Linked DNA regions of Caenorhabditis elegans. The protein of the gene in region 1 purifies or fractionates together with the protein of each later gene. This does not show direct contact. Each region holds a gene or a part of one and is shown on either strand. Other genes may lie near its edges.

Region 1 (4,556 bases):
GGAGAATGTTTATTGTGATTCAAAAAAACCAGAAGGAATTGAAACATTGACCAGAGGAAAACAAAAACAAAAAGGAAAAGAGAGAGCAGACATGGGACAGACATTCGGTGAAAGCTCAAAAGTTATTCTGCTAATGCAGACTTCTAGCCTAAAAGGATGCGTATGAGGTGATGGGTACAGTAAAAATGGGAAAATATAACAAAGGATCGAATGGTCAATGAGGATCGGATGAACGTTTCATAGAAAACAATGTGAAATTAATTCAACCTTCCAATCATCGATGGTAAATAACCTTCGATCGTATTATGGATTAATAATGGGGAAAAAGCTCCTGACTTAGAATCATGGAAAATACAATGTTAGAACTTCTTAACCGGTACAGAGAAAAATGAATGACGGGGGTTTGATTACGGGCATGATGGGAGTGAGAATATGACAGATAATATGAGAATGATACATTCTTAAAATGAGGAGCAACTCAGGCATAAGAAATATGACAGATTGAGAGAAGCTGGAGAGGGAGATCATTCATGGAGAGTTGTACCAATTGCCACCTTCTTTGTACGACTTCTCGTTGTTGCAGTTAGGCGCGGTAGGAATCAATGGGTACAGATAGTAAACCCACCTGGAATGATAAATTTCAGTTAATTAATTGATTTAGATACTCACTGTGGATATACGAGTTCCTCGGATTCCTCCACAAAGCCACAAATACTCGAATCGTTCGAATTGTTGGTACCGTTCTACAAAAATACATTACAGCTAATGTTCAATGAAACTTTCTGGTACCCCATCATCGATAATCAGGTCCTGTGCGACAGGCTCGTCGATTCTTTGTCTCTCCACTTCTACTCGAGGCTGTGCCCTCTGAAACGGAATCGGCGCAACGGCGGGTGCTGTAGTTCTTGTCCTTCTATCTTGTGACAATCTCTGAAACCAAGGTTTGTCTCATAACGAAAATATGAAGAAAATAAACTCACTGGACCGGGAGTAGCCGACCGACGCGACATGCGGGATGTCTGAGCATTTCGGGACTCGTTCATCAGCTAAAACAAGAAAAATTAACTTTTTTTCGGTGTACTACAGCACTCACTATGATTTCGTCCGGATAAGATGGCCACGAGTCTGGCGATCCAAGGGAATAAGCACCTGTAGTCACCCAGTCGTACACCCTGAAGAATAAGTAAATTAGGAACATTTAAAAATTAGTTTCATACGTTTGTTGCCTGGCGACCTCACTGACTGGACCGCTCCAGATTTTGTCCCTGTATGCGCCTTTGCTGAAAAGAAAGTACTCGAAAAAATGACATTTTTTATTCAAATACCTCGGGGAGTGCTCTTCTCTTGGCTTAGAACTCCAATTCTGTCTCGTTTGATGACGTCCTCGATAGTTTGGCATCTGAAAACAATGATAAACGTTTTTTGAGCTTGAAAGGAGAAAATTTAGGCAAACTCGTCCAAAAATGAGAATTCAGACCGTTTTAAAAATAGCAAACAAGTTACAGTAATCAAAGGAGCAGTCAGTAAACTAAATTTAGGCCTCACCACGAGTTAGCGAATTTCACTTGCATTTGCGTATTTTTAAAGAATAGTACTTTTTAAAATTACCTCTAGTAATCAAATTTGTTGACAGTTTTGAAATGAATGAAAAATTTACTTTAAAATAAAAGGAAAAGCTGCATTTAGTCAAAAATTATTTGAATAGTTTTGAGCTTTTGTAATTGCGTGGCGAGACCAATGGACTTACCCAATCCGATGTACCTTTAATTTAGCATTTTATTTGCATTTTTGAAATCCTAAAATTCTTTCCTAGGCTTTCGAAATTGACGATTTTCTGTGTTTTTTAAAATTCAAATATCGTTTCCTAGTTTCGAAAATAATTTTTCGTTTTTTAGTGTATCATTTTAAGCTTGTCATTGGGTTTTTTCTTTCTTTGCATAGTATTCCTCGAGGAATTATATTATATTTCACATTTACAAACTCTTGCCTAAAAATGAGACTGTTTTTTTGCAGATGGCGCCCTTGGAAACCATCTACGACGAATCGCTCAACAAATCGGCGGATTCCATTGATGATAAGGTTTTTTTCATGGTTTTATGGCCATTGTAATTTTTTTCATCTTTAGAAATGGTCCAAACTTTTCCCAAGGATTGTCAGCGACCCGGATCGATCATCCAATTTCATGACCAGAGCAATCTACGTCGCGTTTTCGGCTGTTCTTAGGAACCGTAACATTCTTGGACAAGAATATTTCACGAAGAATTACATCACTGGTAAATGTTTTTCTTATCACATTTTATAGTAAATGTTCTTTTTCAGAAAAGCTGAAATGCATGACGCTGTGCTTCAGAAACCCACGGTCTAACCAAATCGCTCAACTACTTCGAAATGCTGGGGATGCAACAAAGGATGGGTTTCTGAAAGAAGTCTCCCTCGTGATCACAAATAATGAAGGAGATCTTGAAGCCATCGAAGTTTTCTCTATGAAGTTCATTTATTTTGAGAATGGCGGCGTGGTTGCTCGTCTGAGCACTGACAAGAATGGCCAGGAAGATCCTCACTTCGCAAAGCTTGCTCAACTTGTATACGAGGGTGGCGACAGCGTACGAGATCAAATGGTGACGATTGTTCGCAGTGTTCAGTTCCTCTGCACAAAAGTTCTCGAACCGTTGCCAGAAGAATTCACGGCTAATTTTCGATTGGAGTACACAAACGATGCTCCATCCAATTTCCGCATTGATGGCTTCGAAGATTCTTCCACTTTTTACACACTTCCTGATGATATCCAATCGGCAACCATTGGTCACTTGCGCCCAGGATGCCACGCTGCAAACATGGAATGCTGGAGCATGTTGATGTCCGATTCATACGAAGCAGAGTTGACTCTCAAGCGACACCTGGACAAAGTTTCCGATAGGCATGGATTCAATCCAGTGAATGTGCTGTATAAATCGTTTAATTCGGAGGACAGTGACACAAGTCTTAGTCAGGCCACTACTGAATCTGTCAACGATCAAGGAGGAAACGAGACTTCTCCGGTGGATGATATAACTGTTAGTTTATTAGTTTTTTACATATAAACAAAAAATTTAAAATTGTAGGAGTCTCTCGAGAAAGCACAAATGTCGCCTATCCAGACGAGACCAACTACTCGCAGAGGAGCCGATGGCAGCAAAACCAGATCGTCTCCATATTCTCGTTCCTGTAAATAATTTTTTTCCTAGCTTTCAATAGATTATAGCTTCATTCTGTAACTTGGCATGTTCTATATCATCGTGTAAAATGTTTTATTGTCTTGAGTGTTTCCTTTCTGCTCCATTATTGTATCCTTAGTTTTTTTTATTCAAATTACAGTCATTCATAAATAAATCGACTGGTGTTATTAAATAGCATGTTTCCCATGACTCCATTTTCAAGATACTCCAGTGCATTTCAGAATTTTTCAACAATTGACCAATCTAAAAAGGATTCTCTCTTTTCTTCTTCTGCTGGATACCGCTCCGAGTATCTTTCGGTAAATCTCGAAATTCTCTTTGTATTCACCATTCATGCTGACCTCGATAACTTTTCTCAAGGTTCTTTGCTAAAATTTATGTGGTTTGCAAGGGAACGTGGCGATTGTTGATTGTTGGTTTCAAGTTTTGAAAAAAAACACAGTTTATTCTACTTTTCAATGTCAGACGTCACAAAATTTATCAGAAAAAGCTTTTTTATTGCAGTGTCTGAAACAATTTTATGTAGTATTCAGGTTGATTGTAGTCGTTTTAAAGGCGCGTGCTACTTTAAATTGGTCTCGCCACGAAAACCATATATTTGTATGTTCTGTTAAAAAATCACATTCTAGCGAACAAATATCTCAATTTTCATTTAAGAAAGAGCAGTCGCGCCTGTCGCCAACAAAATGGATCGTGGCGAGACCTATCGAGAGAAAAATGTTCTTTTGAAGTGGAGTCTTCAGATTTGGCGAATTAATTCACGAATTCACGACTGGATATTACCCAGACACAAAATGTTGTAATTTTTTCGCCAAGAATACCAGGTCATGGGATTAAAAGGATTAAAGATTAAAGAATACAATTTTTGATTAAAAAGATTAAAAATACAATTTTTTATTTCAGAAAATACTGGAAATTCAAACTCTTCTTAATAAAAAACTTAATTTTTATCGATTTTTCATAGTATTTTGGGAAAAATTAATTGTACTTGTATTCATTAAAAAATCTCTCAATGATAATAATAAGAACACATTAATTTTAGCAAATCACATCGATTTTTAAAAAAATCTGCAGCAACGTAGGTTTGGGATTACAGTACTCTTTAAAGGCGCACAGCCTTTTGCATTAAACTCAAATTTTTCGTGTCAAGACCTGGTATAGTATTTTTGGCGCACAAATCACAAAATTCCGTTACTGGGTATTATACACAAATCATGAAAAAATATATTAAAAACCATTTATATACGAAATTTAATTACTGTTTCAGGCACTTTTCAATTACTTTTTAATAAAAAACATCTTATCAATAGAGTTACAATTCTTTGACCGTACATTGAGTGT
Region 2 (4,927 bases), on another chromosome or scaffold:
GTCAAAGTTCAGAACACGCGATTTTTTCATAATCCGGGAGATATCGGCTGCGATATGAGACATACAAGACGGATGAGTTTTAAATAACACAATTTCGCAGCCGACATTTTACGGGGAAATTTCGACTGGCATCACAGTTGTATTGTGCTGCTTTTAACGACCCTGGAGACGTCGGTTGCTTTTATAAAACCTGTGAACTTCTAGGCACTCTCTAAAAATTAGTCACTGCTGGCTTAGTTATACTCAACTTTTCTTAGACTTTATAAATAAATTTTGGCCAGCGAGATGTCGGCTGATGTATCACTGAAAATGGGATATTTTTCCCAGGAACCCGGGAAATGTCAGCCGCAATGTAAAAACCAGTTAGGTGTCGGCTGCTAGTTATCCAAATATAATGTCGGTGGATACATGCTCTATATTATACACTTCCCATCAACCCGGGAACAGTCCGCTGCTGATGCCGTTTTGACCTGTAAAGTGTCCTGGGAAGATGTCGGGTGCTTTTTTTTTAATATCAGTTAAATCATAACACTCATTTTGACCCGTAAAGTGTCGTCTGCTAAGCTATTGTTTCCTGTATAACCCTGAAAAATGCCCTTTTTCCCGAATTGATTGTTTGATTCTAAAACCGTTTTTTTCAATTTTTTTATCAAACCCCAACTAATCGTCAAAACTTTCACGTATTTTCCAGGTGTTATCAACATCAGTATCACAAATGTCCTGGACACACAAGCTTACCTATTTCTTTCCATTTTGCATGTATGTTGTTTTTGTCCCAATGAAGACGCACGTGCTATATCTGTTTGTCGTCTAGTCGTCTGGCACTCTCTTCTAGACTGCATACTCTCTAATTGTTGACCCTTCTTTTCTTGTTTTCACTTTTCCTTTTTTTAGATTTGGCAGTTTTAAGAGGTTTTTGAGAGGTTTTTTTTCGAGAATTTTATATGGTTTTTTCGCATTTTTGGCCGTTGATAACGTGGTCTTTAGATTAAAAATCGTAAAAATTTGGAATTTTTTAGAAAATCTAAAGTGCAAATTTTACTAATTTTTATGTTAAAAAGCTATGATTGAAGTTATACTCCATTTTATTTCTCATAAGGTCACAATTTTTTTTCTCAACAACTGTGATTGTCTACTAACTTTGGGTACTTCAAAATTGCTACAGTATATCAAAAATCGCGAAAAACTAGAAAACTGGTGATCACAGTTCTTTAATGTTTATTTTTTTACTTTTTCATGTAAAAATAAAGTCTAAAATCAGAACTGAATAATGTAGAGCCATTTTTGGAAATTACCGAAAATTTTGAAATTTCCTACCTAGCGAAACTTGCGCGTAGGATATGTTGTTTTCCGTGCCGATTTTATTATGAATTTAGTTTCGAACGGAGCAACTCTATGTCAACAGTAGAATATCGTGCTTTTTCAATGCAAAAAAAATCCGAAAATTCTAAACTTTCCTATCAAGTCCTCCCTCCCCCACTTGCATCATCTAACCCCGTCATATCGTTCATTAGACCTACCGCCCATTCCTCCTCTCTTCCTTCAGAAAATGGCCGAATGGTGTGCCGATCATTTGCGCAATTGCGAAGGCTGGAAGTCGGCTGGTCTGGAACTATCAACTACGAGTGATGAGAATGCGAAATGGTTGGATGCCTGCATTCGACAGCTTGTGTCCTGGTCGGATTGCACCAGTTTAGGCGGATTTCATACATCGATCGAGAAGCTTGTGGCTTCGGATCCTGAAGCAAGTTAGTTTGTTTTTTGTTTAGCACTTGGAGTCTCTGAATTTTCAGTTATGGCCCGAACTTTCCTAGTGGGCCTCTCCGGGCTCGGCACAGAAGCCGCTGCTCGAAATGTCGAATTTGCCAAGAAAATGGATCAACTAGAAATTGACGCTGAAAAGTATGGAAACGCCAGAGAAAAGCGACATGCCAAAGCAGCGATTTTGTGGGGAAGAGGGTAAGGGCTCCTTTAGGAGATATTTTTTTGAAACTTTCCTGTTTTTCAGAAAGCATCATGAAGCTGCCATCGAGTGGGACAAGCTTCTAGATGATTACCCAACAGATTTAATTGCAGTGAAGTTCTCACACGATGCTCATTTCTTCAATGGAAATCAGATAGGGAAGAAGAACGCAATTGAGAAGGTTATCCACAAGTGGAATGCAGATTTACCATGCTATAGGTGAGATTTAATTGTTTCTATTTTCGAAATATTTTAGTCTCTAAAATTGGTTTCATTTTAAAATAGCGCCATCTACAACAAGAAAACTGTCCTAGTAAGCGCTGCGTTCAGATTTTCCGAATTTCAAAAAACCAATGCGTCTAGAGTGGGATTTGAATCCATCTAAATAAAAGAGGTTATGGTTCATAAGGTCTAGGAGTTCAAGCTAGGTTCAGGCCTATTCACAACTAAATATGAAAATTAAAACAAAAATAACTAAATAGGTTTTATATCTACATGCTTCGAAACCGGCTTCTATCCCCAACATTTTTTTTCTTTAGCTATCTCCATGGCATGTATGCTTTTGGCCTTGAAGAATGTGGTATCTACGATGATGCTGAAACACAAGCAGATCGGGCCCTACAACTGAACCGATTTGATTGCTGGGCTTCCCACGCAAAGGCTCACGTCCTCGAGATGAACGGGCGGCACAAAGAGGGAAAAGAGTTTATGTACAAAACGGAGGATGATTGGAGGGTACTTTTCAATCTATTCAATTAATTGTAAATATACTTCCCCTTTCAGCAAGGTTGGATGCTAGCCTCTCACAACTACTGGCACACGGCACTATTTCACATTGAGTACGCAGAATATGAGTCAGCGCTGGGGATTTTTGATCGAGAAATTGCGAATCGATTCAACAAAACCAACTCCTTGCTAGACATGGTTGATGCCAGCTCACTGCTGTGGAGGTTAGAACTGGAAGGTGTCAATGTTGGAAGGGATCGGTGGAGGAAGATAGAGCATCTGTCGAAGTTCATCGACAATCACTCAATTGTGTTCAATGATGTGCACCTAGGGCTTGCAATTTATAGACAGGAGGATTTGGAGACGGAGAAGAAGTTGAGAAATTCATTGGAGAAGTATTCATCGTGAGTAACACTATCCAGTTCGCCTTATCCGAAAAGAGAGAAGCTACAAATCTATGAAAGATTTTGACATGTTGTATGTACTTGGTAGGCATGTGGTGTCGAGCTGTCCCATTTCGATTTGATTTACGTAGATCTACGAGAATTGCGGGAATTTAGACGCAGACGTCTTTGCTGATTTCGCATGATAAAGAACCTGCTGACGTCACATTTTTTAGGGAAAATTTCCCGCATTTTTTGTAGATCAAACCGTGATTGGCGAAAATTTAAAAACGTTGTATCGAAAGGTGTTAGGATATGTGGAATTAGATGTGATAATCAGCTCCTAGGTCAAACTTACCACATATCAAACTATCATTTTTCAGGCTGCTATCCGAGGACAATGCCCAAATCAGCAAGACCATCGGGATGCCCCTCTACGACGGGATGCTTGACTTTGCCCGCTGCGACTACGACACAGCTGCCGAGACTATGTACCCAATTCGCGATAAAGTTGTCCAAATCGGAGGATCTCATGCCCAGCGGGACCTTTTCGTTCAGACACTGATACAGTCTTGCATTCTGAGCAAGGATCCCAAGAATTGGGCTTTGACGCCTGAGCTGCTGGTGGAGAGGGAGACCCTGAAGCATGACTCGCTGTTGGGCCAGAGGCTTGCTGATAAGTTTAGAGCTTTACATCCGCTGTGAGTTGGTGGAGAGTTTAAGTTATATTAACTTTATTTATTTTTAATTATCATATTTTTTATACACAATAAAGCAAGTTATTACAATAAAAAGTACATTTAATTTCTTTTAATTTCAAGAAAGTTTAGATATGAGAGCGAGCCTGTTTCTGGATGAGTGCCTTGACACGAGCTCCAAAATCTGGATGAACCTTTGAAAAGTGATCGATCATTCCCTTAATAATGAAATCATGACATTCCCCGAGCGGCCCTGCAAAGTTCTGGCACATTCTCTCCCGAGCCCCGGTATCCAACACCTTCTCCCAGAATTGACGGGGTTGATCATAGTTGTTGTCATCTCCACTTTCATAACGATCAACATCTCCAGTGGCTGGGAATGTGGTATCCTTGACATCCGGACGAGTCTTTCCATAGTTGAAGCTGTTCGGGAAGAAGTTTGGAGCATGTTGCTGATTGTCATAAGCCATTGCACCATCACGCTGGGTGTTATGAGCACGGGAGCGGTACGGGCAGTTGACTGGAAGCTGGATGTAGTTTGGTCCAAGGCGGTGGAAATGAGTGTCGGTGTACGAGAAGATACGTCCTTGGAGCATCTTGTCTGGCGAGAACTCGATTCCTGGGACGATGTGGGCCGGGCAGAAGGCGGATTGTTCAACCTGGAAATAAAGTACTGTAGGATTACTGTAGTTTTGGAAAAACGTTTTTGTGTTTCCCAAAACTAGCTATTCACGTTGAACTCACGTGGTGTCAGAGTGTCTCATTTCGGCTTGATCTACTTTGATCTACAAAAAATGCGGGAGAAGAGACGCAAGGTTTTCAACTGATTTCGCATGGTTAAGAACTTGCTGAAGTCTCATTTTTTGTGCAAAAAAAATTCCCGCATTTTTTGTTGATAAAAAAAAAACAAACCATAATGGGACAGTCTGGCACCACGTGAGAGCTATCAATTCCGTCTTATGGGCCCTAGTTTCTCGTTAGAGCGCAATTGCATGCCTTACCACACTTCACACGGTAGCACAGAAACTAGATGGCTTGGTTCATGATAATCAGTCTAAAAACCTGTATTGGCTGCTATCTCGAAAACTAACCCAAATTTGGATTTTGCGATGCATATGAAAAATGGCCGCAAGAAAATTTACTCGTTCGGTAGAGCA

What was found.
Region 2: the proteins of htp-1 (region 1) and Y54G11A.7 fractionate together in Caenorhabditis elegans (co-fractionation; one large-scale study listed by BioGRID). This does not show direct contact.

The regions. Positions count from the first base shown.
Region 1 is NC_003282.8:5,389,015-5,393,570, reverse strand, and holds htp-1 (HORMA domain-containing protein), read left to right. Parts: upstream 1-2,013; coding exon 2,014-2,079; intron 2,080-2,125; coding exon 2,126-2,273; intron 2,274-2,319; coding exon 2,320-3,053; intron 3,054-3,101; coding exon 3,102-3,212; 3' UTR 3,213-3,382; downstream 3,383-4,556. Other genes in the region: ZK616.5 (uncharacterized protein), read right to left, coding at 529-625, 670-743, 790-930, 981-1,046, 1,094-1,172, 1,218-1,280, 1,326-1,399.
Region 2 is NC_003280.10:14,295,759-14,300,685, forward strand, and holds Y54G11A.7 (Tetratricopeptide repeat protein 38), read left to right. Parts: upstream 1-1,546; 5' UTR 1,547-1,549; coding exon 1,550-1,748; intron 1,749-1,793; coding exon 1,794-1,959; intron 1,960-2,008; coding exon 2,009-2,182; intron 2,183-2,502; coding exon 2,503-2,698; intron 2,699-2,746; coding exon 2,747-3,093; intron 3,094-3,455; coding exon 3,456-3,777; 3' UTR 3,778-3,863; downstream 3,864-4,927. Other genes in the region: ctl-2 (Peroxisomal catalase 1), read right to left, coding at 3,899-4,429.